3 linked regions of the Arabidopsis thaliana genome follow. The protein of the gene in region 3 interacts with the protein of the main gene of each other region in a pairwise test. Each region holds a gene or a part of one and is shown on either strand. Other genes may lie near its edges.

Region 1 (10,306 bases), on a different chromosome or scaffold from region 3:
TATCCAGTTTCGTAATTTTGAAATTCTTTGATTCTGTTGTTTAGGTCTTTATCTTCATACAGTCACCGAGACGAAGCTTATAGTAGATACTTCAAGGGGAGAGACGTTACGCATCAACGTAATGTTACTTAATAGTGATTTTGACTTGGTTTGTGCTTATATTTGATTAGAGATGTCTGATAAGTTTCATTGATGATGCAGTTTGATATTACGTTTCCTGCTCTAGCATGTTCGATTCTTAGTGTTGATGCTATGGATATTAGTGGAGAGCTTCATCTTGACGTGGTATGTTTGTAAAATTGGTTACTGTTATAGCTTAGTGAATCTTAGTTTTTGTGTTTGAGACGTTGATTAAGTTTGTTAAATGTGTGAGTTACAGAAACATGATATCATAAAGAGAAGATTAGATTCTAATGGCAACACTATAGAGGCAAGACAGGACGGAATAGGCGCTACTAAGGTTTGCTCTCTGCCATTCTATTCTTTGGGGTTTTGTAGTCATTAGGCTAGGATTAAACTGCAGGCAAATGGCAAATGGCAAATGGAATAGTAGTGTCAAGAATTAAAAGTCGTTTGTTTTTGGGGTCTTTAAAGTCTTATACTTTTTTTTTTGTGCTTGTGTAGATTGAAAACCCACTGCAGAAACATGGTGGCAGGCTGGGACATAATGAGACTTACTGTGGTTCTTGCTATGGGGCTGAAGCGGTAATTGTGTTATCTCTCTATTTGACTTTGTGGAGCATGGTTTCTCAAGTTCATATTCAGATTACTCTTGATTGTTTAGTGCTAGTCAAGAGGTCATAATGGAATAAACAAAAACAGATGTCATAGTGGATTGTTTCTGTACTATATATAGTTATCATTTTCAGGATAGTTGATAGTGCTTTTTCAATCTGGCTTTCATTTATTTATAAGCTTTCATCTGAAGTATGTTTTTTCCCCGTGCAGGAAGAGCATGACTGCTGCAATTCGTGTGAGGATGTTCGTGAAGCATATAGAAAGAAAGGTTGGGGGGTTACTAATCCAGATTTGATTGACCAGGTAAATTGCTAAGAAAAGGTTCTTCGCCTTTTAAATTCCTGGCATCACTGTTTCAATGCGATAGTAGCAAGTTTTGTTTCATTTCTTTCTTCTTGTTTCTTTTTCTTATTCTTTGTTAGAGTCTCCAAGGCTTGTGTGCGTTTTGTTTAGTTAGTATGCACTTGGGAGGCTCTTAACTGAACTATGCTTCAAAGAGTTTCCATCTTCCAACTGCGAGCTGAAATACTTTTCACTTATCTGTTTGTGATTCAGTGTAAACGAGAAGGTTTTCTACAAAGAGTAAAGGATGAAGAAGGTGAAGGGTGTAATATATATGGGTTCTTGGAGGTCAATAAGGTGGCTGGGAACTTCCACTTTGCTCCTGGGAAAAGCTTTCATCAGTCGGGCGTGCATGTTCACGATCTTCTTGCTTTTCAGAAAGACAGTTTTAACGTAAGAAATGACTTGTCCTATTGACTGCAACTCATTCGTTATGCTTCTAATCTTATATCAATTCAATATGTTGCGTCTCCCTGCAGATAAGTCACAAGATCAATAGACTTACTTATGGAGACTACTTTCCTGGCGTCGTTAACCCTCTTGACAAGTAAATAACCATTCTGGTCTATTCCATTCACACACTATTTATTTTTTCATACTCTCTAACGTACTTGAAATTGCAGAGTCGAGTGGAGTCAAGACACACCTAATGCTATGTACCAATACTTTATCAAGGTTTGTTCCAAGACAAACACTGTATCATATACTTCAAATTCGTCTATAAAATACCCGCGATGACTCTATTCTGCTTTGTCTGCTTTCAATAGGTTGTACCAACAGTATACACAGATATCAGAGGACACACAATTCAATCGAATCAGGTGAACCAAGGCTTTTAACTGTTCGACCTCATTATCTATTCATTCTCTTCCGCGTACTATCTTAACTTAAATGTAAAATTGGCAGTTCTCAGTGACCGAACATGTAAAGAGCTCAGAAGCAGGTCAACTGCAATCTTTACCTGGAGTTTTCTTCTTCTATGATCTCTCTCCAATCAAGGTGAGTGTATTTGTGTGTTTTAACTGCAGTTTTAGAGCGTATTTATAGTCATAATCCTAACTAAAATGTGTCGTTTCCGTAGGTAACATTTACGGAGGAACACATATCATTCTTGCACTTCTTGACGAATGTTTGCGCCATAGTTGGAGGTATCTCTCTAATCTCTATATACCATAACAACACTTGTTGGTTAACGCACATTAAAATCCGAAATGAAACATGTAAAAATGCGCAGGTGTCTTCACAGTGTCCGGGATAATAGACGCGTTTATATACCATGGTCAAAAAGCTATCAAGAAGAAGATGGAAATTGGTAAATTTAGCTAAATCCTTTAAGCCTTTTTGGGGTTTTCGTCTCTCTCTTTTTGTTTTGCGGATAATACGATTCATGCTCCAAATGTAATATGGTGTCATTTATTTAATTCTTTTTGTTAAGCTGACTATATAAAATATACATATTGATACGTTACACTCTTTTAATGCAAATTGAAGGATAAGTCTTGGGTTGTGTCAATCCAGCTGTTGACAGCCTCATGCGTGCGTTACAATTATCGTCTTTTGACTTTTTGTCTTTTGAAGATATTATGGGTTTTGAATCTGAAGTTAAGTCTTGAGTCTATCTTTGATTGTAGTGTATGGATTCAATGAATGGAAGAAAAAGAAGCAAAACAGTCTCCATAATAAACGCTTAGAGTACAGAGAATCATTATTAGTATTGACGAGAAAGTTGTTATTAGTGAATATATTAATTCCGATTGCAATATATGTTAGGTCTCGGTTAATACTCGGATTCGAAGAACTGAACCAGAACCTATCCGAAATATCGGTTTGGGTCTGTTTTGGATCCTCTAGAACATTTGATTGGGTCTTGTCTTCATATATTTTCGGTATTGGTTCAAAAAGGATAATACCTGATAAATTAACGGGAACTCGAATATATTTGAAGCCTAACTAAACTCATGATCTCCTTTAACCTATATTGCCTGGTTTGATTGGGAACATCGGGTTTTTCTTTTCGAGTAGTTTGGATAAATTTGAGTATAAAGTAACCAACTTGAACTGTATCCGATAATTTTCAATTCACCCATATCAACTATCCGAACTGATATGAACCCGAAGGTTACCAAACCAATCCCGAACAAAATTTTAAAATACCCAAATAGTACCTCGATTCCTAGTACGAAACCAAAATCCAAATACTCGAGTCGAACCCAAACCGGTACCCGAATGTGCAAGCCTAATATATGTGCATTCTCTCATTCCTTTGGCTTGGCAATTGGTTTCTATATTTGCATGGACACTTTTATCATCCAAGTCTTCCTTTCTCATTTGACAACGTTTGCTCGTAAAAAAAACTCACTTTGGTTACCATTGTTAAACACAAAAAAAGAAATCTAATCTTTTGTGTTAACTTAAAGACTTGATAATTGTTTTACTTTTTTTTTTACTTATTATCTATCACTCGGTCTATTCTAAAGAGAAAGCATGAGAATGTCGTCAACGTAGGCACTTTGTATGAGGTTATCTTTATACCACGTAAAGTTCAATCAAGGATCCTTTTCTTCCACTCTTGTGTTTCTCTTTTGACTTCTTCAAAATAGGACCAAAATTTATAATATTAAGCTAGAAATTTAGCAATTTAAATTTTAAGTTTTCACTATATTGTTCCCTTTTAGACTAATTTACTTTTTAATCATTTCTAAGCTAAGCACAATGGTCCTGTCGCAGAATGGAACTTCACGATTCTAATGTGTTACAATATATTCATAGTAGTAATACTAACCATATTCATTTCAATTAAGAGAAAAGAAGAAGGGTCTACATGGTACGGCATGAACAAAAAAGCTTGAGCTGTCCATAATTTACACACTTGCATTACATTCATACAAAATGCTAAATTACAAATTTTACGCACAGCTAATAACCCTAAAGTTTAAAAGAAAATACAAACAAGTTAAAATGAATAAAAATGAATTGAATCCTAATTTTTCACGATAAAATTGAAGCCCAATCTATCTCATAAGAAGGACACTTGCCGAGCATGAAATTTTCATTCCATGGCATCTCTGGCTCTTGGCACATCTCCTGCACCATAACATCCGAAGTCGGTGAACCCGACCCATCACTTTCACCCGACCCGGAATGTTGTTGTGGCGCTGACGGCTGCTCAGCTGAAGAAGCCGCGGCTTTAGCTCGTTTCCTCGACGTCCTCTCCGTTTTGCCCGGCTGATTCTTCGGCTCAGCTAATATGGCTTCTAGTTTAGCGTCTACGGCAGCTTGAATAGGACCATATTCGCCGGTATCAGACGGAGACGAGCCGGTTTGGTATCGGAGAGCTGGGAAGTTAAGCCGAGCCGAGTCACCACGAAGCTTAAACGCGGCGCGATCATAAGCCAACGCGGCTTCTTCAGCCGTGTCGAATGTTCCGAGCCAAAGTCGGGTTCGGTTCCTGGGTAAACGGATCTCCGCGACCCATTTTCCCCAATGTCTTTGCCTCACTCCTCTATAGAGCTTAGCCGGTTTTGAAACCGAACCCGAACTCGGACCCGGTTGGGTCATAAAACCCGGTTGGCTCGGCTCAATGAAGTTAAGCATGCAAGTGTTGTTGTCTTGGTGAGTGTAAGTGATAGTGTTTTGGTAATGGAACTGAGATTGGTAGTTTTCGGGTTGTTGAAGATCCGACCCGAATGAAGATGGATAGGTCATGGATCCAGAATAAATATCCGGGTAAGAGGTTGTGGAATGTGAAGGGAATAAAGATGCATGAGGATTATAGTAAGAAGAAGAAGAAAATAGGTCGTTTGGGGCAGACGCAAACGCATCGTTTGAGGACGCAAACGCAGGATTTGAAGCAGACGTGGAAGCACTTTTGTAAAAAGGTTGAAGTGCTTCCATAAGCTCGCCGCCGTGGCCACCACCGAAGAGATCCGCCATCGGAGTTTCCTGAAATACAAAAAAAAATGTACTACAAAAAACAAGATTATATAAAATTATAATTAAAAAATGGTTGAAGAAATAAAACCTGTCTTTTTAGAAAAAATTCAAAGACTGGTTTTTTGGTTTATACAGAAATAAAAGTGATCAACGAGGTTTGAAATAAGCAACCTCCATAGATCAAAACTAAAATAAATTTATCAACAAAAAAAGAAATAAAATAAGAGGATCAAAACTTGAGGGAACTAAAAAATGCCCATGAAGTTGATCAACTCTATAAAAGAATGAAAGAATATTAATTGACAGAAAAAATCATAATATTTTTGATGGATATCGTTTTCTTGAAAACACTTTTCAAATACAATTTTAAACAAAAGTTTGTCGTTTTAGATGAGTTTTGGCAAAATATAAACTCATAAAGCAACACTTCATAAGAAAATCGTGATTTGTGTTTTCTCAAGAAAGACGACTGATGAATAGACAGGACATGGAAGAGTTTTTTTCTTTTGGTTTGAAGATGAAACGAAGCAAAGAAAGCAAGAAGAGAATAAACCCTAATTTCACTCAAATTTTAATCTCTCAATTTTTTTTTTCTTCTCTCACTCACACTCACTCTCTCTCACACACACAAACACTCTCTCTTTTGGAAGATGCTCTCAACCTCACCTTGGTAATACCCACCCAACTCTCACCGTTTATATAGAGGGCTTGTTCAATGAAGATAGATTAAAATATTGTTTGTACATCAATAATCCTAAAATAATGTACTTGACTTTTAAAAAAACGTATTTGACTTTAAAAAAATGTATTTGACTCCCACTATATAAGATACATATTTGATCCAAATATATATAAAAAAAGAAGTATAAAAAATAATTGAATAAAAACTGAATATAAATGTTGTAACTAGTGAAATGTTTCGAAGAATAGTTATGAATCCCTTGTTCAAAAAGTCGGCTGATCGGATAGAGTCTACCGCAATTTTGTCCAAATCGAAAAGATTAATCGTTGATCTGATTTATTCATCATAGATCCGCTTAAACCTGTCTAGAGGATGCCTAGTCCAAAACTTTTTTTTCATTTTTTTTTATTTTTTAAGATAAACATTTAAAAATATCCAACTTTTTAAATATCCAAATTTAAAACATCAAACTTATGTTCTAATTTGTATGAAAAAATCATAAATTTGAACTTAAAATCTTGTTTTCATGTGTTTAATACAATTCTAAAAACAATGTTATATAATTCTCTTAATTGTAATGGAGGAATATGTTTTAAAAATATTAAATAACCCTAAACTTAATTTCCGATTAATTTTCGTATAATCTCTGATTTTTTTGTTAGGTGATAGACCTATCCTCATCGTTCGACTAGCGCCTAACGATTTTTTGAGCAAGGATTATGACAAAGTGTTTTGGGTCAAAACCCACATAAACATTTATACGGTTGAATTTGTTCTTCTTGGTAGCGAGTACGGACGAACTACGGAGTACTGTGGGCAGAGCTGTTCTAGACAGAAGCATATCAAATATGAACTTGCGGACTTGCGTAAGCATAAGTACAACGGTTATTTTGGAAACAAATCAATACTTGAATTGGTTATATTGTTTGATGATAATTATTGTAGAGTTTGAATATTAACATTCGCACGACACTTGGACTCGTACGTGGAGACTGAAGATTCCATGCAGAGCAGAAGTTAAAGGTGCATTTGTTCTTAGCCAAAGAAACCAGGTCACATGTCCTTAGTGCCACAATTCGCATTTTTTGCCATTTTTGCGGTGTTTACGTTTTTTCCTTCTTTTTGCAACAGTCGTTGAAAATTAGTTGAGAAAAAAAGTGTTAACATCCTTCTGAGATCGATTAGTACTTCTACTATACCATTAAGTTACTATGCTTATACAAATAGATTTATCGAAAAACATTTAAGACCAATTGTTATGCAAGTATATTCAATTTTTATTATACTCCTTCCGTTTCACTTTAAGATGTTTTAGAGAAATTATTTTGTTTTATTAAGTGATATTTTCAAATTTCTACGCAAAAATATAAATATATTTGAAATGTTAAGAAAAATTATTGTTATAATAAAAATGTTTGAAATATATACTTCTAAATGTTTTGCATTTGAATTTTCTCCGAACTTAAATGGATGATGTTATGAGTAAAATGAAAGAGTGGCTTCATAAAATTACCACTAACACACTTCATTAACAAAAAAACGTTTTCTAAAATAGTGTTTTCTCTTTTCAATTCAGTAATTTTGTTGAAACTAAATTTGACAATTTTAGCATCTTAATAATGCTCGAAACCTCCAACCGTCAACAAATACCGTTGGAACAATAACAGTGATATAATTAAGTGATAATTTAATTTAATGATGAAATAATACCTTCTTCAATAAGTGATTTAAGTGATAATTAAGTTGCAAGATAGAAGAGCCACGTGAGAACGAAAGCATCACGTGATCTCAGGCGCAATTTGCTGCAAGTGGGAAATTGGACTTTACGTTGGCGTCGCCTCGAAATTAAGACTCACGCGTGTGATTTTTTGTCCCAATTAATCTCTCTTTTCTTTTGCTTACACACCATTTTTAACCTAAAACATCAATAATAGTACAATTCACAAATCTTATATTTACGGACGGTTGCGGTGCTAACTTTTAAAATCAATAATAGACATTTCAAAAGTTTCGGACCATTCTAAACCATTCAAATCGATGAATTTTAAAAGTTCTTTTTTGTAAACATTTGCGATTATAGACAGTTAGCAAAAAAGAAAAAGAACAAAAAAAAGTCATTTAAACAACAAATAAATAAATATTATCAAATCATATATATATTAATGTTCATTCTCAAAATTTTAAATACTTTTTCCTACTAATATCAGTGTATCAATCCCAACTGAAGAAAGATAATAAATAAAAGTAGTATTGTAATAATATTGTCAATTTGGAAGATTTATGAATTAGTTTGTCATATTTCTATGAAATTTACAAATAGAGCTGTGCTTATAAAAAAGAGGCGGATGCCTCAAACCCCAAATTTTCTATTGAATATTAAGGCTCCAATTTCAGATATATAGGTAGTTCAATTGGTCAAAACTTTGTATATTTGAGTGTCTCGTTTTAAGTTTGAGTTCATAATGATTAATTCCCAATATTTGGTCATAATATGTTTTTTCCTTACGTTTAAGAAATAACATCGTTTCTTTTATAAATGTTCAGTTTTTTCTATATTATTATTTTTTATATCATTTATATAATGTATATTATTTATATTTCTGTATTCTTTATCAAATTTTGAAAATTAGACTATTTGTATTTAAATAAACAATTCTGTATTTTATTTATGATCCAGTAAACCATTAGTTTTCTTTTACTAAACAAACTAAAATTGTAAATCTCTAATTCTTTAGAACACTATAATAGATTTTCATATTTTTCTATTTATATTTTTTTCCAATGTAAAAATGTTTCTAAATAATTTTTTTAAAAATTAGGTACGGGCTCACATTTTCAAAGAAGCTTGACACGACTCTAATTATGATATATATATAATTTTATTATTAATTATATTTTATCATCATAATATAAGTTTTTATTATCAAGTATAACAACGGATGTACAACTGTTAAATGCATAAATATTATATTTATTAATCATTTTTGATTTAATAGTTATTGTATCCGGTAGTTAACTAGTCATAATTTTTTATTAATTTAAACCGCTAAATTAACTAGTCATTCAAAATGCTTATTAACATTTGAAACTGCAGCCACACACTTCTGCAAACTCCCACAATCGTAGCCAAATTGTGTTTATACCAATCAGGCCATTAATATTTTTATTTCTTACCCCTATAAGCTATCCCTAACTATTATTATGACACTACTACACCTTTCATAGAAGATATCCTGGATTGTGGGTTGTAATCTCTAACTATTATGGTAAAAGATATACCGCTGTAACCCATAAAAATACAATAAACAAAAAGTGGTCAATAGCAACATTTTAAAATTCCAACATGCAAACGGAATGGTATAATGATCAAAATGTGATAGGTATGAAAAAGAAAAAAAAAGTGAAGGGATGAAAATTCCTTCATAAAAAGGAAATATAAATATGATTGTTTATTAATATTTTTGTGTCAGTTTTCTTCTTTAAATACATGTTCAATATTAAAAAGTTAAGAATATTCTCATGATATTATAAGTATGCGTATATTAACTCAAAAACAATAAAAACAAAAAATCATTATTGTCTTCGAAAAAGAGTCGTTGACCTGATTCTTAGAGTAGAAAGTCATTTGTTAAATTGCTACATAGAATTAAGGAAACTTTTCTAATAAGAATTAAAAAAATTAATGAGTTGCTTTTCTTAAACTCTTGCTCGAATTTATCTTCATTCTTTGCCTTTATAATATCGAATCTCTTATCAAGTGCCATTAACTCAACCCGTAAAGTATCTCAGACAAAGTCTAGAGATCATTGGTGATTCAGGTGGTATTTGGGAGAAAACTGTATAAAATTGCCTGGTACAGTATTCGACTTGGGAAGATGTACGGTCTCATGGCAGAACCTCTTAGTTGTTCAAAAGAAAAAATGGGAAATTTAAGATCTTCTTGAAACACTACTCATATTTCAACTCTGCTCACATCTTTAAAGTGCATTTGTAGTTTGGTATTATTTTCTTGAATATAAGTAGCAGGAAGAAATTAAAAATGTTGATAAGATTAGTTGGAAAAGTTGGGGTGAAAGGAGAATTAGTGTTAATTGGACATGATTCTTGGACCGTGTTGGACGGGAGACCCCAACAGGCCAACACCAATATCAAGTTTGCTATTATTGTAGTATGATATAACCAGGGACTTATTACAGTATTAAGTGTTTCTCAAGTGATGGAGATACGATCATAAGTGGCGCCTATTCATTACTAAACGCAATTAGTGACTAATATTATTATATTAGTATAAGTTATCCTCTTTACTTTTTTTCCCCGGGTTTGGTGGTAAATTGGTGAAGAACAAAAACGCGTTTTTGTATTTAATTATAAGTCAAATGTGTTATACAACTTTTATCCATCAGTAATGAACTTTAAGAACTTTTTTTTTCACTGACCATGTGGCTCCTTATGTGGTTTAACAAATGTTTGTTTAATCATTTTGTGAAAAAACAAGTAATCATGAAAGAAAGCAAGTAATTGACTACTAGACGAATCTAAAGTAAAAGAGAGATAACAAATGCTTTTAGAAAAATGGATAAAGATTTGGATCAACGGAATTAACCAAAGTAA
Region 2 (13,611 bases), on a different chromosome or scaffold from region 3:
ATGAAACTTACGATCTCGACCACCGCGAACACCTCCCCTCGTTGGATGATACATCGAAACCCTGAAAGTTGCAACCTTGATTTTTCCTCAGGAGGCTAAAAGCCAGAACTTTGATTGGATACGAATTTCTCAGATTTTTGGTTCCAATGGAGTTTAAATAAAAACAAAAATACAAAAAACAAACTGAAGACGGTGATTATTATTATGGGCCAAATAAGGCTTTAGGCCCATTAGAGGTTAATAGAAACAAAAACTTGAAAAGACACGTGTGACACGTGTCGTAAGCAAAGAAGGAGAGAAGTGGAGAGAAGTGACCACCAGACAATTGTAAAGCCTACCTAATCCACACCGATTCAATTCAAAACCCTAAACTCAAAATCCGTCTCGGTGGAGGAAAAATGGCTGAAGAAGCTCAAGTAGATCGTTCTAATGGCTCTGATTCATCATCTCCTCCCATAAAGTTACCTCCTTTCATCACCAACCTATTCGCCTTTCTTCAACCTAAGCCTCCTCCTGCTACTATTGATGCCAATGCTCCTAAACCTACCGGCGAGAAGGAACCTCTGAAATCGACCTACGAGACTGTCACTTTCCCTTACAATCCACCCAAAAGCGCAGAGCCAATCAAGTTTGAGGCTGAGCCCAGCTCTGGCAGGACTTCCAACTCTGTCATCCTTTGGCAGGTGATTTTGTTAAGATGTTTATATTTTAGAGGGTTCTTTGATGAAAAATGATTTGAATTGGCTTATAATTTGGGGTTTGGTGAGAGGTGCTTTGTTATGTTATTTATGAGAATTGTAGGGACATGGTTGTTTATGGTAGATGTTCATAATTATGACTCTATGACTCAGATTATCACTTCCTGTTTACTAGAAACTATTCTGGCTTTTTTTCTCTATCAATAGGCAAATAGTTTTCGATGTTTTCAATGTATTTCATTGGTTGCAGTCAGTTGCAGTGTGCTACAATGAATGTTGAAAATGGTTTCAGTTTTTGTTATGCCTTCGATTCCTGGTAATGCTTTAGATGACCTCTAACAATTAGCTTGATGTTCTGTCGTTCATGGAGTAGGAAGCATACTATTTTTGCTCCTTTCAATTGCAAGTTTTGTAGTAGTCAGAGCTATCAAAGGCTGACTTGATATATGAATAGCATGACTCGAGAATCGAGATGTTTTGGTTGTGGTGTGCTTTATTTTCTCATCAATGGACTCCTGACGTATACGAAAGAGTTTTGTTCTGATGATTGTTTCAAATCCTGGAAAAAGTTGGATTCTTTCATGGTTAATTTAGTGGAGTATTCTCTATAACTATTTCAGGTATATGCACTTGGAGGGTTTCTTGTCCTGAAGTGGGCCTGGGCAAGATGGAATGAAAGGAACGAGAGAAGTGACAAAAAGGAGGCGACGGGTGATGATGATCAGAAAGATGATGATGAGGATGATCAATCATCTGATGGGCATGAAGACTAGTCATATTACTTGAACACGATGAAAATGTTACCCACTTTGGTTCTGTATAGCAAAAACACCATAAACTTCAAAATGAAGATTTCTTATTTTCCATTGTATGTACTTGAATCTTGAGTCTCATCTCCTTATCTAAGGGGACTCGAAATCTCTTCTCATGCTGGCAAGAAGTTTTTTTTTTCTTACTGGACAAATCTCTTGTTGTTGCTGTGCAGTGTCTCTTTAGTTCGTGACTTGTAGTTAGATCATTGCTAGTTAAGTTTCAAGAGATTTGTCATGTTAAATATCATAAACCGAACAAATGAACACACAAACATTATCAACAAATGGGATTTCAACAAACGGTCCTATAATGACCAAGTTATGAATCACATACATAACTTTTGCCTCTTCTATACAGTATTTTGACGTTACACAAAGCTGATATTAGTCTACAGTGTATATAACAACCACCACACTCTACAAAGATCCAACAATCATATCACGGCTTCACAAGGATCAACAGAATCATTCTCGCCTAAATAAGCCATCATCTGAACCACTAGTAGGAGACAGCCCAAACGGGCGTGTGTAATAAGGAGTCGAATACAATTCTCTACTGCTTAGAACTGAATCAGGATACAAGCTTCGAGTAGGTGTCACAGGGGTATTATATGTACTTGACGATACTTGGTTACCTTCAAAACCAGATGTTCCACCAGAGATTGCACTGCCTGAAACTCTTGGTATGCCTTTATTAAGTCTGAATCCTGGAACATCAACCATCGGTGGACCATCTGCCCTGAAGCTGGACCATAGTTTTGGTCCACCGATGTATGGGGTGGTCGAAAGTCGGTCATCCACTGACAAAGGAGGACTGGTTTCTAGTTGGCTTTGGAAGCCAGTATTTAGGAGATTGTTTGTGGCTGTTCTGCTGAAAAGCTGATCTCCAGGTACTAGGGGGACGTCTCGCTCAGGCATATGGGTAACCATGGCGTTCTGAGAACTCGAAGCTAGAAAAGTGTTCCTATTTGAAGCATCAGATGTAAAATCGGTGGGGACACGGAAAAGTCCAGCAGCACAGATAACTGGAAACTCTACCATGGACCCGACACTGGAAGCAGGGAGAGATGGTTTAGTACTAAATGCTGGTTCCATCGGTAGTGCATATGTGTTCATATATGAACCTGGTGTTGAAGGATATGAGCTTTCAGAATGACAATCCGGGTTTCTGATATGTAGGCTATTGACTTTCTCTTGCAGAGACAGCTTCGCTTGCTTTAGTGCGGTCAGTACAGTTTCACAAGTATCAGGCTTCACATCTTTCACTGAAACTAATGGATCATCTACTTCATGAATGGTAGTGGTAGTACTGCCAAAGAAACCACCTCTCGAGTTTGGTTGCGTTACAGGAGGCGACCGAATAGTTGATGAAGAATGCTCATTGATACCTTTACTGCTCTGTGGTTGGGAATACTCACTTGTAGGGCTCTCAGAAATATGTTTTCCTTTGTCTCGAGAAGAATAAGCATCTTGTTCCACAGATCTGGAACCACAACTATTGCAGCACTTATCAGGTGACGTTACTGAATTATCAGGTGAACCATGCGACAAAGTTTCAAACGATTCTCTAAAGTCAACTTCATTAGCTATAGACCTTGTATCACGGAGTGAAGGGACTACTGTAGAACCTTGAAGTGGAGATTGAGCTTTTTCTCCGTTACTTTCATCCGTCACATCTGAATGGTTTCCAACGTCACATAAATCCTGAAAGATTGGACAAGAAGTATTGTTCAGGAATTCCAGTGAATTAAGCGGAGACTAAGTTCAACCTTTGTGAACTAAGATATCTTCATAGATAATGTCTTCAGAAACAATATGGTTATATAACAGTTAATACAAAGAAGAAAAAAAGCATACATTTTTCATAACTTTTTAGCACAATGGAGAGAAGACAGAATAAAAGAATCAATGTATACGCATGCAAACCAAATATAGAAAACTGCAGCATATGCACAATTATCAACGCCACATAAAAGAAACTTTGTTGGTTGATTCATATAAACACGAAATATACCATAATCACAATTGATGAAAACAATTTCTAAAGGTCAAAGCCTGAGATATAGGGCATACCAGGGCAGATGATTTATTCTCTCTGAAATTTTTCTCCCATTCCCTTTGAGTCTCTTCCATTTCTTCAAAAGATCCGATAACTTGAGCACGGTTTTCTAACGCTCTCTCCAAGTTGATGTCCGTACTGTTTCCCTTCTCTAAACCATTTGAATTTGACAACTTGTTCAAACTATCGTCTCCCTTCACAACAGCAACATCCACCACGGTTCTAGATACTTGATCATTCTTTTGAGGAAGCATTTCAGTGCGAACTCCATTTTCTTGAAATTCAACCGGATTTCCATCTCTCTTGTAATCCTCAGATACATTTCTGGAAAGTTGAAAAATGTTGGTTATTCTATTACACAACATACATAAGCAAGCTTTACAATTGCTTTACTAATAAAGCGATTTATGATGTATATAATTAGAGAGACGATTTCTAAGCATATAACCTTCAATCTCAAATTTCTAAGCACTGTGTTTCTAGGCAATGCTTGCACAATTTGTAATAGTAAACCACTCATAAATCACTGAGCAGCTAAAGATAACAAAACAGACCTTGCTTCACCACGTCTAATTTGCCGACAAGATCTTCCTTGACGATGTCTCGGTGAGGAAAAATAAGCACACTCGAAACCTCTGTGATGTCTCCTATTCCGGTTTTCCTTGATCTTGTCAGAAGAACCTGGTTCCCTCCTGCGACCTTTCCAGGACAAACTTTTGCCTAACACTAAAAAACAAACAAATCTCCGACACTGAGAGTTGCTCAAATCTCATTAAACCCATGAATCAGAAACTTTCCTCCTATCACATAAAAACTCTAACCTGAGTTACTCTGAGAGTAGCATTCATGATCAGAGTTTGAATCATAATCATCAGACACATCATTATACCCATTTTCCTCTAAGATCGCAAGAACATCAGCAGTTGCCTGTTCAGCCTTCTTCCTCTGTAAAGATACAATCTTGAGCTGTTCCTCTAACTCAGCTACCTAAAGATATTAAGACAGGACATAAGACTAAAGAACATTTCACTGGATCATCCCTACAAATTATAAAAGAACATACTTTATCAGCGAGACCATCAAGCTTTGCTCTAGCACTCTTGGAAACAGCTCTTTCAGCTAATAAACGTGCACGAAGAAACTCAATAGTCACTGAAGTAGGATCTTGTGCCTCTGAATCAATACACCTATAAAAATGTACCAAAACCCAAATCTAAATTTCGATTCGCAAAACGATCTTATTCATCTGGAAAAAAAAAGACAGAACTATACCGATGATGATCTAACTTGTCTTGATTCGCCATCGTGTAGACGAACCAAAAGATCTACGAACTTCGAAGATCGGTGTGAAGAAGAAGACGTCTCTCTCTTTGCTTACACAAGTCAATGAAGATAGTTTTTTTTTTAATCTTTCACTAATGTATTTTACTCTCTTCTCATTGGTTGTAAGTATTTACTAATTTCGATTTTATACTTTTTTGTGTAGTAGACAAAGTCATGGATTTGGATTGAGATTTACAGAAAAAAAAAAGTAAAAAAAAAAAATGTCTTTTTCAGAATAGGAGTAAAATAATATAAATAGAGCGGACGCGAAAAATAAAATGAAATAGAGTTTAATTGGAATCTTTAGGTTACAGGGATTATTTTCTCTTTCCTTCTTCTTCTTCATTGTTCTCTCTCTCTCTATCTCTTCTTCTTCTTCTTCTTCTTCTTCTTCTTTGGATTTTGTGAGCTAATAAACAGAGAGGAATCGCCATAAAAAAACCTACTTTGTCTTTCAACACCGAAATTAAAGGAAATCTCTTTTTCTCTATTGAGCTTTTTTCTTCAGCGGTGAAATCTCCCTTCCTTGTCTCTCAGTAGTGATTTTTACATACAGCTCCGCTCTCAGGTTTCTTCCTCTTTTGATTCTGTTTCCGCTCTTTTTGGGTTTACTTCGGATTTTAATCTTCAGATTGACGAAACCCTAGTTTGATTTTGGTTTCAGAAACGACGAGTCTTCATTGATTTGGTTTCCCCACCAGCTCTTCTTCTTCTTTTTTTGTTCCGAGACCTTTTTGACGGAGGTAGGTACGGAGGGAATCTGGAGTTGGGTTTGAAGGATACTCTTATGCGATTCTTCTGGATAACTTGATGCCGCAGGATCACGCTTCGTGGGATCGGAAAGAGCTCTTGAGGCAAAGGAAACACGATAGGCCTGAACAATCTTTTGAATCCCCGCCTTTTCGATGGAGGGATTCGCCTTCTTCTCACCATGTTCCTCGAGAGTTTTCTTCTCGTTTGGGATCTGGAGACTTCCGCAGACCTTCTTGTAAGACCTCCTTTTCTCTCTCTAATTTAGGGCTTTGAATTCTCCTGCTCTGTTTTTGGTAGAGTCTATTTTTCTGTGGATTTGTTAGATATCCACTTTTCCTTTTTGGTTCTATAATTTTTTTTGAATTGATTTAGAGGCAAATCCTTGTTTCTTAGATTGAGTTCTCACTGTGTCATGATAGCTTAGGGTATTTTTGGAGCATTAACACAGCTCTTAAGATTGATAGGAAGTGAATTGATGAGGTTACTCTTCAAAGGAGCAATTTTTAATACTCAGGTAGATTTAGTTTCATTGCAAGAGGACTTTATTACCTCAATTGTGTTTGTGTTTTGTGTTCATGAATCTTAAAACGGATAAAAAGTCCTAGCATCGTGGAGTGTTGTTAGTTTTAGTTTTACATGTTGTAGATTTAGATGAAGATAGCTCCTACTTTTGCAGGTTTCTTACTTGTATAATTTTTCCTATTAGTATTGAAACCCTGTGTGGGCGTAATGACACTTTTTTCTCCTAACTTGACTTCGTGTTATAATGATTCTAAGTTTGACTTCCTTTTGGAGAATCTTATACTACATGTTTTGACAGCAGTAAAAGTCTAATTTTTTTGGATAGATGTCGTTTTTAGTTTCACAAGTTATATATTTGGTTGAATACAGGTCTTGCTTTAGTTTGTGATTCTCATCTTCCTTTTGTCTTCAAAATTTTCTGAAGGTCATGGTAAGCAGGGTGGACGGCACCAGTTTGTGGAGGAGACTAGTCATGGATACACATCTTCTCGGTCCAGTGCCCGAATGTTTGATAATTATAGGCCATCAGCATCGCGTGGAGACTGGAGATATACCAGGAATTGCAGGGATGATAGAGTTTCTGTAAGCCAAAAGGAATGGAAATGCAATACATGGGAGATGAGCAACGGATCTTCTAGAAGTTTTGAGAGGCCATTTGGTATTAGAAATGGTCGGAGGTCAGTTGATGAAAGGCCGCTACATGCTTCAGATACTCATTCTACCGTGGTGAACTCTTTGGATCCAGCCAACTCGGCTCATTATCTGGACAATGAGATCAGTACCCCAGTACGGTCTCTTAAAATTAAAAATGAGCATAAATTTTCAGATCAAAGGTTATCACTTCCTTCAGATCCTCATTCTGAATGTATTAGCTTGTTTGAACGGCCTTCTTCTGAGAACAATTATGGCAATAAGGTTTGTTCACCAGCAAAGCAATGCAATGATTTGATGTATGGTCGAAGGTTAGTTAGTGATAATTCATTAGATGCTCCAATCCCCAATGCAGAGCTGGAGGGGACTTGGGAACAACTTCGCCTGAAAGACCCGCAAGATAACAATAGTTTACATGGTATCAATGATATAGACGGTGATAGGAAATGTGCAAAGGAGAGTTCTCTGGGAGCAACTGGGAAACTTCCACTGTGGAATAGTTCTGGGAGTTTTGCATCTCAGAGTTCAGGTTTTAGTCATTCAAGTAGCTTGAAAAGCTTGGGGGCTGTTGATTCCAGCGATCGGAAGATTGAGGTTCTTCCTAAAATTGTTACTGTGACTCAATCTTCTTCAGGAGACGCTACTGCCTGTGCCACAACTACTCATCTTTCTGAGGAGATGAGTTCTAGAAAGAAACAACGTCTCGGGTGGGGTGAGGGACTGGCGAAATATGAGAAAAAGAAAGTTGATGTTAACCCAAATGAAGATGGAACAACATTGATGGAAAACGGTTTAGAGGAACTACATTCGTTAAACAAAAATATTGCTGATAAAAGTCCCACAGCAGCCATTGTTCCAGATTATGGTTCCCCTACAACACCATCCTCTGTAGCTTGCAGTTCATCACCAGGTACAATACAATTTGTTAATACTTCTCTCTGCGTGCTCTTCTCATTCCTGATCTATTTGGAGTTATCTGCATTATTTTCATATTACTTGAATTCTTCCATCATGTATCTGTTCTTGTAAACACTGATTTTGTTTTTCTCTTTTTATCATGTCTTCCATTTGTTTTTGTTATCTTCTGCTGGGGACAGTGTAACTCACTCGTAATTTTATTCTTTTGTGTACATTCAGGGTTTGCTGATAAATCATCTCCGAAGGCTGCTATAGCTGCTAGTGATGTCAGTAACATGTGCCGTTCGCCTAGTCCCGTGTCTAGTATTCACCTTGAACGATTCCCAATCAATATCGAGGAGCTCGATAACATCTCAATGGAGCGTTTTGGCTGTTTACTCAATGAGTTACTTGGTACTGATGATTCTGGTACAGGGGATTCCAGTTCTGTCCAATTGACATCAATGAACACATTACTTGCCTGGAAAGGTGAAATTTTGAAAGCTGTGGAGATGACTGAATCAGAAATTGATCTCCTTGAAAACAAACATAGGACACTAAAGCTTGAAGGTAGAAGACACTCTCGTGTTGTTGGACCCAGTTCATACTGTTGTGATGGAGATGCAAATGTGCCCAAGGAGCAGGCTTCTTGTAGTTTGGATCCTAAGGCAACAGCTTCTTCTGTAGCTAAAACACTGGTGAGAGCTCCTGTGCATCAGGCTGGTTTAGCCAAGGTTCCTGCTGATGTTTTTGAAGATAGTCCTGGGGAAGTTAAACCTCTATCCCAATCTTTTGCCACTGTTGAAAGAGAGGAAGATATACTGCCCATACCATCTATGAAGGCAGCTGTTTCTTCGAAAGAGATTAACACACCTGCTTTTGCCAATCAGGAAACTATTGAGGTTTCTTCTGCTGATGACAGCATGGCCTCCAAAGAAGACTTGTTCTGGGCTAAGTTATTATCTGCCAATAAGAAATATGCTTGTGAATCATCTGGAGTATTCAATCAATTGCTTCCAAGAGATTTTAATTCGTCTGACAACTCAAGATTCCCTGGCATATGTCAAACGCAGTTTGATTCTCATGTCCAAGAAAAAATTGCAGATAGGGTAGGCCTATTGAGAGCTAGGGAGAAAATTTTACTCCTTCAGTTTAAAGCGTTTCAGCTCTCATGGAAGAAAGATTTGGATCAGCTAGCTTTAGCAAAGTACCAATCAAAGTCTAGCAAAAAAACAGAACTATATCCGAATGCAAAAAATGGAGGGTATCTGAAGCTTCCCCAATCTGTACGCCTGAGGTTCTCTTCTTCAGGTAAAGTTCTCAAACCTCTTTTCTCTTCTATTTACTCTGATATATTAAGCTTGTCGTGGTTTGTCGCTGTCTGGGATGAAGTTTGGCTTTTATGATGTGTTAGTTGTAGAGACTTGAATTATGTGATTTTTCAAGGGCGTGAGGTGTTGAGAGAAACATATACAACTCTTGAGAACTATTGTTACAGAGCTGTACATAGTGGTCATAATTCATTATTTGCAAGCTAAGTTCAGAGTCATTCCATGCTAACGTGTTTGTTGGATGTTGATAACGCTATTTTAATTTTATGTTAGATGTTGGTTTTATTCTAGTATTATATCCACTGTAATATTCATTTTAACATCTAGCTTGTTTAACGAGGAGGTATAGTTTAAGCAGATGCTTATTTCTTGTCTATCTTTTATGTTGTCGTAGGTAAATATTTGTCTTAGATGCTAACTAGAAAGTATATCAATACGCAGGAGATGATTGCGGTGTAAAAATTTGGGATAATGATCACAGATGAATTGAAGCCTTTTTTCATCGAATTTAAAGTTAATAACTGTTTTACACTACCTGTGCAGCTCCAAGAAGGGATAGTGTAGTCCCCACAACAGAGCTCGTAAGTTATATGGAAAAGCTACTTCCGGGTACCCATCTAAAGCCTTTTAGAGACATTTTGAAAATGCCTGCTATGATTTTGGATGAGAAAGAGAGGGTGATGTCGAGGTTTATTTCTAGCAATGGACTGATTGAAGATCCATGTGACGTTGAGAAGGAAAGAACAATGATTAATCCTTGGACCTCAGAGGAGAAAGAAATCTTTCTGAATTTGCTAGCAATGCATGGGAAGGATTTCAAGAAGATTGCTTCATCTCTTACCCAAAAGACAACTGCGGACTGTATTGATTACTACTACAAAAACCACAAGTCTGATTGTTTTGGGAAAATAAAGAAGCAGCGTGCTTATGGTAAGGAAGGGAAGCACACCTACATGTTGGCTCCACGAAAAAAGTGGAAACGTGAGATGGGGGCTGCCTCTCTTGATATTTTAGGGGATGTCTCCATTATAGCAGCAAACGCTGGAAAGGTTGCATCAACCAGGCCGATCTCTTCCAAAAAGATCACCCTTAGAGGTTGCAGCAGTGCTAATTCATTGCAGCACGATGGAAATAACTCTGAAGGGTGCTCCTACAGTTTTGATTTCCCACGTAAGAGAACTGCTGGTGCAGATGTTTTAGCTGTTGGTCCTTTGTCACCAGAGCAGATAAATTCTTGCTTAAGGACTTCTGTGAGCTCTAGAGAGAGGTGTATGGATCATCTGAAGTTTAATCATGTCGTAAAGAAACCTCGGATATCTCATACTCTACATAATGAGAACAGCAATACTCTACACAATGAGAACAGCAACGAAGAAGATGACTCATGTTCGGAAGAGAGCTGTGGGGAAACAGGTCCTATTCACTGGACAGATGATGAGAGATCTGCCTTTATACAGGGTTTTTCGCTTTTTGGCAAGAATTTTGCTTCAATATCAAGGTACGTCGGGACAAGATCTCCAGATCAGTGTAAGGTTTTCTTCAGCAAAGTTCGGAAATGTCTTGGGTTGGAATCTATAAAGTTTGGATCTGGAAATGTAAGCACATCCGTAAGTGTTGATAATGGCAATGAGGGTGGTGGGAGCGACTTGGAAGATCCTTGTCCTATGGAGAGTAACTCTGGCATAGTGAATAATGGAGTTTGTGCCAAGATGGGTATGAATTCTCCTACCTCACCTTTTAATATGAATCAGGATGGTGTTAATCAATCAGGCTCTGCAAATGTGAAAGCCGACCTTAGTAGATCAGAAGAAGAGAATGGGCAGAAATATTTGTGTCTGAAAGATGATAATAATCTCGTGAACAATGCATATGTCAATGGCGGTTTCCCGAGTCTAGTTTCAGAATCTTGTAGAGATTTGGTAGATATTAATACTGTTGAGAGCCAGTCTCAGGCTGCCGGAAAAAGCAAGAGCAATGATCTCATGTCAATGGAAATCGATGAAGGTGTCTTAACATCTGTCACTATATCTTCCGAGCCATTGTATTGTGGCCTAAGTGTTCTTTCCAATGTTATTGTGGAAACCCCTACAGAAATCTCACGAAAGGGCTCAGGAGATCAAGGTGCTACAATGCCTAAATTTAGTTCAAAGAATCAAGATGGAGTGATGCAAGCTGCAAACAGAACCAGAAATTCTGGCCTTGAACCTGAAAGTGCACCTTCAGGTTTCAGGTACCCTGAGTGTCTTCACCATGTTCCGATTGAGGTGTGTACGGAAAACCCTATAGGCGTCAGTGCACCACGAGGAAATCCAAATTGCCATGCAGAGTCCGAGTCAGGAAATTCTCTTGTTGGACAAGTTGACGAAACACATGACTTGGGTTGGCCCAAGAACAATCTGGAATTGGATGGGAGGCTTCAGGTTTTAGGCCATGTAAACCCTGAGCAGATTGGTCTACTAAAAGCGACCAATACAGAATCTTGTCAAAATCCCCAGAGATCAGTCACCCAAGATCTGAGCAGGATAAGTAGATCAAAATCTGATTTGATCGTAAAAACCCAACGTACAGGTGAAGGCTTCTCACTCACCAAGTGTACTAGTTCAGCTCCTAAGCCTCTGGCAGTATCCCATAAAGAGGGCAGATCTGGTCATAGCAGGAGCCATTCGTTTAGTTTGTCTGATACTGAGAGACTCCACAAGAATGGAGATGTGAAACTGTTTGGTACAGTACTTACTACTGATGAGAATGGAATAAAACAAAAACACAATCCATGTGGAATTGTCAGGTCATCATCAACCTTGAGCAGGGACCATGATACAAGACATCATTACATTAATCAGCAACACCTTCAGAACGTTCCCATTACGAGCTACGGTTTTTGGGATGGCAACAGAATTCAAACCGGGCTCACATCTTTGCCAGAGTCGGCCAAGTTGCTTGCAAGTTGCCCTGAAGCATTTTCCACGCATCTAAAGCAGCAAGTTGGTAACAGCAAAGAGATTCTGGTGGATGTTAATGGTGGAATTTTGAGCTTTGGTAAGCATAACGAAGATAGAGCTGAGTCCTCAAGCGCTAAGGATGAAGGTAACATAGGAGGGGTAAATGGTGTAGCAGAGGCAGCCACGTGAATGAAAAAGCTTCTTAGGGTCATGATTAGTTTGTTTTGGAGGATTGGCATATTCTTTGCTTGTCAACCTATCTGTATTATATCTCTTTTAACATCTTTTTTTTTTAATTTAGAATGTCAATTAATATAGGCATTTTTTTTTTTTTTGGTTCAGCTAAAGTTAGGTGCCTGCAGAAAATTCATAGCTGATGTTTGTATTTGTAATGTTACTGATAATAACAGAGAGATCTAAGAGCTAAGCTTAGCTCTCTGTATGTTTTTCAAAAAGGATAACACTTGATGAACAAGCATGTCTAATGTTGTACAGTGAAAGACTTATGCAACTTCACTTGCAGGAGGATAAACCTTTTTCTTACGTCTCACATCTTGTTTGGAGAATTGGTGGCAGCGGTGCTACAATTTTTACTACCTGCAGAATGGTAAGGACATGAACAATTGGATTGTTTAGATAAGGACTGAGAGATCTCGTAAAGAGCCTGACCACTGAGGCTTAGGTATGATCTACGTGAGTTACCTTATGAGTGTTCAGCAGGTTTGGTAGCTCTACTTGATGAGCATGCAGATGATATCCACAATCCCCAGGAACAGCCTGATTTGGCCTTCTGTAACCTCTGCAATATATTCAGTCATAATGACGACACATGCCATAACAGGTGATAGCATCTAGTTAACAGACCAATTTACTCCACATGAAACTACGTACTAGATTGCATCGTACAACATTGGTTAGCTCAAATATTGTTCAATTTCCAAGGACTGTTCATCTCAAGGTATACAGAAACTATAAGTATGAAGAATGATGATCTAATTTTGTACCCATCTTCGGCAAAGGCTGCGGCATCATCTACAAGATCGGGATCAAAGCACTTTGGTTGGCCGCCCGCTACATAAAGAGGGTCCCCTGCACTTTGATCAGCACGTAAGCACTCAGATCCAGTAAACATCGTCATCTCTATCATAGACCACTGCCAAAAGAAAACTTATGTGTAGCAAAAAGCTTCCTAGACTATGCCATAAGCAACTCATGTCCTAGATTGCAACTATATTGTATATGGCTCATACAATTATAACTAGTTGAATCATCAAGTGGGAGTAAGATCTTTTCATCCATCAAAACATGGTTTCATCAATTTGTATTCAATGTTTTACTAAAGTTTTCCTAACACCGCCGAGCAGTTTGGTTGTTCCATTATTGCTTAGTTATCTGGGAAAAAAACATTTGTCTATCTTGTCTTACAAAGCTACGTATCCAACTTTTTTTATTCTATACTAATAATGAAGGACTATAAATGCACAAACCACGCATAATACCAGCTCAAAACGTGTGACAGACCCGAAGGAAACAGAAGTTTTTACCTACCAAGGGATGTCCCATGTATGCAAGATGAATCCGGATTTGATGTGGTCTTCCAGATTGTATCTCTACCTGTTTTGCATA
Region 3 (9,504 bases):
ATAATTATTTCGACGGGCCTATACCAATAGAAGGTGATCTGTCTTTGCTTCACCTCCAAGATTATCAATATGGGCATCATAACTTTTACTCTGAAAAGTGTCTCATGAATTCTCGAGAGGAATACAACTACTCTTATTATTCTCATCATCTTGTTGTTCTCCAAACTTTCTTTTTCGCAGTGTTTTGTGAAATGAAGAATTTGCAGGAGCTTGATCTGAGAGGAATTAATTTTGTAGGTCAGCTTCCTCTTTGTTTTGGTAACTTGAACAAGCTACGGTTTCTTGACCTCTCATCAAACCAATTAACTGGAAATATACCACCCAGTTTCAGTAGCCTCGAGTCCCTCGAATATCTATCATTGTCAGATAATAGCTTTGAAGGCTTTTTCTCGCTCAATCCACTTACCAACCTCACAAAGCTCAAGGTGTTCATATTTTCATCAAAAGATGATATGGTACAAGTAAAGATTGAAAGTACTTGGCAGCCATTATTTCAACTAAGTGTTCTTGTACTACGACTTTGCAGCTTGGAGAAAATCCCTAACTTTCTCATGTACCAGAAGAACTTGCATGTCGTTGATCTATCTGGCAATAGAATATCTGGAATCATTCCTACATGGCTTTTGGAGAATAATCCAGAACTTGAAGTCCTACAGTTGAAGAATAACTCATTCACCATCTTTCAGATGCCTACATCAGTGCATAATTTGCAGGTTTTGGATTTTTCAGAAAATAATATTGGTGGACTGTTCCCTGATAATTTTGGTCGTGTGCTTCCGAATCTGGTACATATGAATGGCTCCAATAATGGGTTCCAAGGGAATTTCCCATCCTCCATGGGTGAAATGTATAATATTTCATTCCTGGACCTGTCTTATAACAATTTATCAGGGGAGTTACCTCAAAGTTTTGTCTCAAGTTGTTTTTCATTAAGCATCCTGCAGCTGTCTCACAACAAATTTAGCGGCCATTTTCTTCCAAGACAAACAAACTTCACTTCATTGATCGTGCTGAGAATCAATAACAACTTATTTACTGGGAAGATCGGAGTTGGTTTGCTTACCTTGGTTGATTTGTGTATACTTGACATGTCCAACAATTTCTTAGAAGGTGAGCTACCACCTTTGCTTCTGGTATTTGAATATCTTAATTTTCTGGACCTCTCTGGAAATCTATTATCTGGAGCCTTACCATCACATGTTAGTTTGGATAATGTTTTGTTCCTACACAACAACAACTTCACAGGGCCAATTCCGGACACATTTTTGGGAAGCATCCAGATACTTGATCTACGGAACAATAAACTCTCTGGGAATATACCGCAGTTTGTAGATACCCAAGACATCAGTTTTCTTTTGTTGAGGGGGAACAGTTTAACGGGATATATTCCAAGTACGCTTTGTGAATTCAGCAAGATGAGACTTTTAGATCTTTCTGATAACAAGCTCAATGGCTTCATACCTTCATGTTTCAATAATTTATCATTTGGACTGGCGAGAAAAGAGGAGATTACTAACTACTATGTTGCAGTTGCATTGGAGAGCTTTTACTTGGGATTCTACAAATCCACATTTGTGGTTGAGAATTTCAGGTTAGACTACAGTAACTATTTTGAAATTGATGTAAAATTCGCAACCAAGCAAAGGTATGATTCTTATATAGGAGCATTTCAGTTCAGCGAAGGAACACTTAATTCTATGTATGGCTTGGATCTGTCAAGCAATGAATTAAGTGGTGTTATCCCAGCAGAGCTTGGAGATCTCTTCAAACTAAGAGCCCTGAATTTGTCTCACAATTTCTTGTCGAGTCATATACCGGATAGCTTCTCTAAATTGCAGGACATTGAGAGCCTTGATCTTTCTTATAACATGTTACAAGGAAGCATTCCTCACCAGTTAACCAACCTCACTTCTCTTGCTATCTTCAACGTCTCTTACAACAATTTATCAGGCATCATTCCCCAAGGAAAGCAATTTAACACCTTCGACGAGAACAGCTACTTAGGAAATCCTCTTCTCTGTGGACCGCCAACCGATACAAGCTGTGAAACTAAGAAGAACTCAGAGGAAAATGCCAATGGAGGAGAAGAAGATGACAAAGAAGTTGCTATTGACATGTTGGTCTTCTATTGGAGTACTGCTGGAACTTATGTGACTGCATTGATAGGTATTCTTGTACTTATGTGTGTTGATTGTTCTTGGCGTCGAGCATGGCTCCGCCTTGTCGATGCTTTCATTGCCTCTGCGAAAAGTAAGTTGGCTTAAAACCATTTCAGCACAGTTCTTACGTCTTCCTTATCAAGCAAAACAGGCTTCAATCCTCTGTCTTTTTTTGTAAGTATATATGTGCTTTGGATTTTACTTGCTGTGACAGAGGAATGTAAGTTGATGCAGGTTCTCTGTTTCAAAAGATTCGTCTATGTATGGTTAATGATCAAATCATTGATAATAAGGTTAAAAAATCTGGTTTAGTTAGTTAAGTGATATTGGTATAAATGGCAATTGGACTTGATTTAAAGGAAAAAAGATAAACATTTTTCATGCGGGCAGAGACCAAGATCTGTGTTACCTAACTAAAGGACATGTATTATTAATGACTATGGTTTTAATGTTGACATAATTATAATGCTAGTCTCATTGTGTACAAAAATGATTATTCCCTACTTCTAGAATTGTTTGATGCCCACGGAACTAATGAATTTTTTTTAAAAAAACTCCACTGTTAAATTACCAAATACGATTGAAGAGTCAATCAATCCTTAAAATGGCAGCAGAATTAAAGTAGAACATTACAATCTGATGTTGAAAAAGAAAACTAAAAAATAACAATTTGACGAAATTTAAACCATTTTTCAATTTAAAGTTAAGTTATATAATTATTTTTTTGACTTGACAAAGATTGTGCTTAACAGATAGGCAAGTCACATTCCTGTCGCAATAAAGACAAAATCTCAGCACAGAACAATTATTTAAAAATTAAATAAAAAACTAGTAATAACCACCGATTTTTTTTTTTTTTTTCATTCATCTTCTTACAATTTCCAAAACGTTTTTGATTACCACCAAATCTCACATCATCGAGATACCCAAAATTCATAGGTGTAAAAAAAGAGTAGAAAATGATTGAAAGAACACAAAAACCAAACAATTACCAAAAAGTACACATTTAGTTTGTTGTTGTTGTTAGTCATCATCATTGCTCTCCAAACCCTAATCATGGTAAGATCCAGAAGAAAAAAAAGCACTAAGCGTAAACAGAGCCATAAGAAAGAGCCATGAGTAACACAGCGGCTTGTTCTTCTTCACCAAGCTTCTGTCGTTGCTTCTCCACCGTTGATCTCTTCCTTATCCCCAAATCCATCAAACTCTGTTTTAACGATTCACCAAATTTACGGTTTCCGCCGCCAGAACTCGATTTCTTTAATTTCTTATTATCTTCTGTTCCTCCTCTTCTCTTCTTTCTGTTTCTGATCCCACACGCGTTACACAACGACTACACAGAACCAAAACCAAAACATATCAGAATCAGAGATCAGAGACAAGATCAAATGATCAACCTCGATTTTTTCCCCAAAATCAGAGTGAAATTAGGGTTTATGTATGAACCTTTGGACCAACAGGACCACCACGCCAAAGAGGAGTTTTACTGGTTCCACAATCAGCACAAGTCTTCTTCTTGTCGTTAACACTAGTGTTGTTCTGTTCGATCATATCTTCAGCTCTTGTTTTCATGGTTTCTGAATCAACCAATAAGACCTGAAACAAACACAGAAGAGCGATCAGCTTATTATTAGATCATCGTCGTCAGAATCAAAAAATAGAGATCAGAAGAGAAGCAAATCATTTTTACCTTTTCACTGTGATCTAGCATTCTGTTAGATCGTCAATTGAAATGGACTTTTGAGGATGTGGTTGAAGTTTGGCGCCGCGATCGGGAAAACAGAGATCAAGGAAAGGATCAGAATCAATCTGGTTACTAGGGTTTAGAGAAGATCACGTTTCTTCGCAAATTCACATGCAGAGGACTTGGAAAGAGTGAAGAAGAGTGTCAGCGAGGAAGAGAGGGTTTTCAAAGGGTCGAACCGACAGAGACAATGATCCAAAGAAAAACCAAACGCGATTATAAATTGGTTCAGAATTAAACCCTAGGATTTGGTCTTTAAATGACGAAACTGCCCTTTTATTCGTCCCCATTATCAGAAGAAGCCACCCGCCAAAATATGGAATTTTTGAGGAAAATGTGTATTTTCGCTTATTGTCTGATTTGGTGAAAAGAAAAAGGGCGCCACTTTGACCATTGTTTGATCAGATACGGTAAAGAGTAAGGTTTCTTCGAATGGTCAATGATGATGATTCACATGTATTTGATCGTAGCCGTTCGTTAACGATCTCTACAAATTTAACGGTTCTTTTCTTCCGTGTGGATTTAAGGATTTTTTTTTTTTTTTTTTTTTTGGAGTGTACAGCACTAGACAATCATATAAATCTCACAGATAAAAAATGTCATAATTCAATTCTTTTTGTGTAGATCAGATTGCAAAGTAAGCAAAATCACAAATTTTTTTTATGTTGGGTGTATGTAAATTTTAAATATAGATGCATTTTGGTTATATCCTAAGTAGAAGATCCACTGGGAAACCAAAATTAGTGAAATTTTAGATACTAAAGATAGATGGATTATAAAGAGGAAGAAACAAACAAAGAGAGTGGTAGGGGTTAAGCCATGTAGACTACTACTAGATAGAATTCAGACCATATATTATTGGTTTATTCTGCATAGTTCCAAAATAAGAGAGTGTGCTTGTGTGTAATGTTGACTCAACAATTTCCTGGTCAAAGTGACAATACTCGAAATAAGTTTTAATATTAAAGGCATATCTTTTAATGTAGAAAAACATAAGATTTTGCTCTCTTTTTTTGGACAGCGTAAATTTATTTTGTAATTGATTGAGTAGAAAGAAAGGGACTTCTTGGTCTCCCATGGAACCACATTGAGTTTGACCCTTCATAGCAAGCTTTTGGTTACATGTCGGAGGCTTTTTTTTACTTTATAGTCTCTATTCTCTAATATCAGATTGTGTAGTTTTGAGTTTACTTTTCAACTGAAGTTGAATCCCTCCAACAGGAACTGCAACTTAGTTCTCTCACAGCTGCAAAACCAGATCAAAGCCAGATCTCAACATCCTCTACACGCCAGTTTGTCTCCAGAATCTTCAAAGCCTTCTTGTAGATCTCCACGCTTTCGTGTTCTTGCAGGTTCTCAATCTTTTTGACTCCTTTCGCATCTTCAATCAGTTGGCGATAACAGTTGACGTCTCCTGTGTTATTTGCCGCCTCTCCGGCTTTTAAAATGTTTTCCAACCCATCAAGACACACTGAGATGATCATTACATCTGGACATACCAAGAGATCACATAGAAGTTTTGTGCAACCCTGCTCCACCAAGTATCTGAACCACACCAGTATATGGAGATTGTGATTTAGTGATCAATAAAAAGCTATATCAAATAGAGAGAAGACAGGGATGTACTTGATTTGATTAGGAGAACTACCCACGGTGGCATTTCAAAATGCCCATGCAGCTTCTTTCTTTACGTCAAATTAAGCATGTTGAGCCAGATTGACCAACGGTGGAATCAAATTTGCATCAATAACCGACTGTTATCATCGGTACAAGAAAGACAACTAGAAAACAATTAGTGATAGCAACATAAGGGTAAATTTGTATATGTTCTGCAACAAAAGCTTCTCACCTGAAGTTGTTCTGTAAAGCCTGCAGTGATGCTTGAAATTGTTGAGAAAATTTCTATCTTTATGTATTTCTCATAGTCTCGAGTAAACAGGTTGGCAAGAATGGGTAAAACACCACAATTGATCACAATCTAAAGAATATGTTCAAAGAGGTTTATTCAGAGCACTTCGTTGTTTGGTTACAAAATCTAATCGCAACATTGTAAACAAGGAACATATAACAAAGCAAGCACTCCATCCTCTCTACTAAAAGCGGTATAGTGATATAAACATTATGATAAACATAGATTTTGACAGTTTTTTTAACTTGATAAAGGATAACTCCACAAGGTGGCAACGTAGGTGGAATATGATTACATACTTGGCTCTGGTGATTATATTGTCTAGCTATAGTCCCAATGTTATGAAGTACAGGAGCAAGCACATCTGGGGAAGGGCGTCTGCAAAAGAAGAAAATTGTCAGTCTTCAGTATCTAAACCAAACTTGCACAAAGGGTTAAATATGTGTATATATTATGAGAAGTACTAACTGGAGAACTTCAACTAATTTTGGGTCAAAACCAGCTTCAATCACACTTTGGATAACAGCTTCTGAACCATCACACAGATAGGAAATTGCCAAGCAAACATATCTCAAGACTTCTTCAAGTATGTTTGCAGAATCTTCAAAGCCTTCTTGTCTACTTCATAGCTTCCGTGTTGTTGCAGGTTCTGAATCTTTTCTATCCCTTTGATCAGAGAACTTTACACGAGTGGCCAGTCTCCATTTCTCAAAACATCCAAGAAAGAAAGATTGTAAGTTACAGAAAGAAGCACGTTTCTCAAAACATCCAAGAAAGAAGCATGTTGCTCTTTTTGAACCTAAACGGTAGCCATTTCTTTCAATGAAACACAACTGCATGATTAGGACAAATTCCTCAGATAACTAGCAAGAAGCTGGACCGGAGACAAGATCTTAATCTTTAATACATGTGATTAAGACTCACGATTGGTCCTAATCTCTTGATTAACATTTACGTTCAGGTACATAGCCTATTGCTAGCTGCCGATTCCTTAAGTGTATGCAGCTGAGTTTTTTGAATACAAGACATATATTACAACTTACTACGTCTAATGATCAAGACATTTCTAAAACCTAGTCACAAATATGCCAAATCTCGAGATCAAACTTCATCTATATGAGAGTGAATAAACAAACATATACCCAAATGTCCTAGAGAGATTATATTATCAACTTGGAAAGATGAATAGTAATCAAAAGTTTCATCCATGTCAAGAATACCGATGCCCCTACTGTGTAATCCATCACTTGTGCTAGCTTTAGGTTGAATACATGTGAAGGTGGCAAAAAAATCCTACTCTAAGTCTCAAAACTTCACAAAACAAAACTGTAGTTGAATCCTCCAACAGGAACTGGAACTGAAAGACAAGATCATCATCACCTTGGAGGCTTTTGTGTCTTCTCATCATCCTCTACATCCCAGTATGTCTCCAGAATATTCAAAGCCTTATCGTAGATCTCATTCCTTTCGTGTTTTAGCAGGTTCTTAATCTTTTTCACCCCTTCCGCGGCATCAATCAGTTGGCGATAATAGTTCACGTCTCCTCTGTTCTTTTCCGACTCTCCGGCCTTCAAAATGTTTTTCAACCCATACAGACACAGTTTGATGATCATTATATCTGGACATACCAGGAGATCACATAGAAGTTTTGTGCAACCCTGCTGCACCAAGTATCTGAATCACACCAATATATGGAGATTGTTACTTGATGATCAATCAAAACGCATGAAAAAAGTGATAAAGAGAGAAGACAGGGATGTACTTGATTTGATTAGGCGAACCACCTACGGTGGCCCTTAAAATTACCCGTACAGCTTCTCTCTTTATGTCCAATTCAGCATTTAGAGCCAGATTGACCGACGATGGAATCAAATTTGCATCAATAAGCAACTGTTATCATCATTGCAAGAAATACAAATAGAAAACAATAAGTGATACCACAATTGATTACAGCCTAAAGAATATGTTCAAAAAGGTTTATTCAGAGTCTACGTACTTTGTTGTTTGGTTACAAAATCTAATCATAACATTGTAAACAAGGGACATATAACAAAGTAAGCACTGCATCCCTTCTACTAAACATTCTATAGACATTGTGATAAACATAAGCTTTCGACAGATTTATCGTTTTTGATAAACGATTACTCCACAAGATGGACAACATAAGTGGAACATGAATTACATACTTGGCTCTGGTGATTATTTCCAGTAACTAGAGTCCCAATGGTACGAAGTTCAGGAGCAGATAAAACTGGGGAAGGGCGTCTGAAAAAAGAAAAAACTGTCAGCCTTCAGTATCCAAACATGTCAGATGTCACAAAGGATTTTGAGAAATACTAACCGGAGAACGCTAACTAGTTTTGGGACAAAACCAGCTTGAATCACACGTTGGATTCCATCTACTGAACCATAACACAGATGCGAAATTGCCAAGCAAACATATCTCAAGATTTCTTTATCACTTGAATTAAGATGTATTTCAAGTGCAGGCTTCACCTGTTAATCAATGCTTCATATGTTGAAAGTATTGGACGCATACAAATAGAGGAAACAGAGAGAGAGAGAATTAAGAAGACCTCGTTGAAGGTAGACGGAGGCATGCCACGACACAAGAAAGCCAAAGTCCGAATGGCAGCTCTGAGCATCGGCAAGTTAGTATCCTTGTACAGCCTAATCAGCAGTGGCGTCAATGCCCCACATTGAAGAACATAGTCACGGTGTATTGGATGATAAGCAACATTACCCAGTGCCAATATAGCCTGCAAGAATAATGTCAAAACTCATATCATTCATACTTATCTACTACATAGGTACAATCTTTACCTGTCCACGGACATTATCTGTCGAAGAAGCAAGAAGCGTGACTAAGATTGGAACAACCTTGTGATCAACTACCACATCCGGTTTAAAAGCAGCAATGATTGCTAGACCGCGAGCTGCTTCAAACTAGAAAAGACCATTGAATATATCACAATCAAAGATTACACTGATCATCGTAAAAAACAATTTGATGGGTTCTTTTTTTTCTTCTAACTTGAAGCTTAGGGAATTCTTCATTGTGAAGAAGGAAAACGAAACGAGCAACAATTCCAGATCGTATTAGATCTTTTGTACCAAGAGGCAAGTTTCTTTGCATTCCTGGACAGATATAAGAGCACAAAACTTAAAGAAATGTTAAAAGATGAAATCTTTCAGATCGAAACAGAGGAAGTTTTATTTACCATCTGATAGAATCCTGTTGATCTTGATAGCTGAATCAAGCTGTATCAAAGGATCTTTTGAATAAAGGCCATTGGCTAAACTCATAGCTGCTGAAACTTTGTGTGAGATCGTTTAGAGGAAGCTTGGGTCTTAAGCAACGTGGGTTTTCTCTCTTCTTTGACCTATCCAGAGAAATTTGCAAAACTTGAAGAGAAATCTGAGCTGAAATGTGAAAGAGGCAAAGAAATTTTGCAATTCAGTGCAAGAATGCAAACAAGAATGGAGCGAAAATAACAGATGAATTTACTACGACAATATCGTTATCAGAACCGGCTTGTTTGGTTTGATTTAATTTCGACTGAAACCGGTTCAGTTCAACCAAATTGATTCAGTTTGGTTTTGGGTTTAAATCCGGTTTAATAAAACCCAAATTTCAACATGTTAGGCGTGTTGGTTAGGATCATCGGATCATTGCCAATCTCGAATTACCC

What was found.
Region 1: the proteins of GATA16 (region 3) and AT1G36060 interact in a two-hybrid assay, tested with the Arabidopsis thaliana proteins (one large-scale study listed by BioGRID).
Region 2: the proteins of GATA16 (region 3) and AT3G52250 interact in a two-hybrid assay, tested with the Arabidopsis thaliana proteins (one large-scale study listed by BioGRID).

The regions. Positions count from the first base shown.
Region 1 is NC_003070.9:13,450,650-13,460,955, forward strand, and holds AT1G36060 (Integrase-type DNA-binding superfamily protein), read right to left. Parts: upstream 5,688-10,306; 5' UTR 5,014-5,687; coding exon 4,069-5,013; 3' UTR 3,847-4,068; downstream 1-3,846. Other genes in the region: AT1G36050 (Endoplasmic reticulum vesicle transporter protein), read left to right, coding at 45-118, 202-285, 380-460, 625-705, 949-1,041, 1,294-1,473, 1,560-1,627, 1,704-1,755 and 5 more.
Region 2 is NC_003074.8:19,370,927-19,384,537, forward strand, and holds AT3G52250 (Duplicated homeodomain-like superfamily protein), read left to right. Parts: upstream 1-5,211; 5' UTR 5,212-5,460; exon of another isoform or gene 5,461-5,556; 5' UTR 5,557-5,702; coding exon 5,703-5,880; intron 5,881-6,591; coding exon 6,592-7,728; intron 7,729-7,955; coding exon 7,956-9,026; intron 9,027-9,589; coding exon 9,590-12,174; 3' UTR 12,175-12,443; downstream 12,444-13,611. Other genes in the region: AT3G52220 (leukocyte immunoglobulin-like receptor family A protein), read right to left, coding at 12-54; AT3G52230 (uncharacterized protein), read left to right, coding at 399-683, 1,319-1,471; AT3G52240 (transcriptional regulator ATRX), read right to left, coding at 1,976-3,214, 3,584-3,893, 4,124-4,295, 4,391-4,556, 4,633-4,756, 4,842-4,873; AT3G52260 (Pseudouridine synthase family protein), read right to left, coding at 12,526-12,582, 12,688-12,784, 12,990-13,125, 13,530-13,599.
Region 3 is NC_003076.8:19,981,606-19,991,109, forward strand, and holds GATA16 (GATA transcription factor 16), read right to left. Parts: upstream 4,184-9,504; 5' UTR 3,871-4,183; coding exon 3,850-3,870; intron 3,756-3,849; coding exon 3,606-3,755; intron 3,493-3,605; coding exon 3,244-3,492; 3' UTR 3,021-3,243; downstream 1-3,020. Other genes in the region: RLP56 (receptor like protein 56), read left to right, coding at 1-33, 181-2,264; AT5G49305 (importin subunit alpha), read right to left, coding at 7,189-7,486, 7,575-7,702, 7,999-8,077, 8,154-8,308, 8,389-8,571, 8,636-8,758, 8,847-8,950, 9,034-9,118. UniProt on the Arabidopsis thaliana protein: Transcriptional regulator that specifically binds 5'-GATA-3' or 5'-GAT-3' motifs within gene promoters.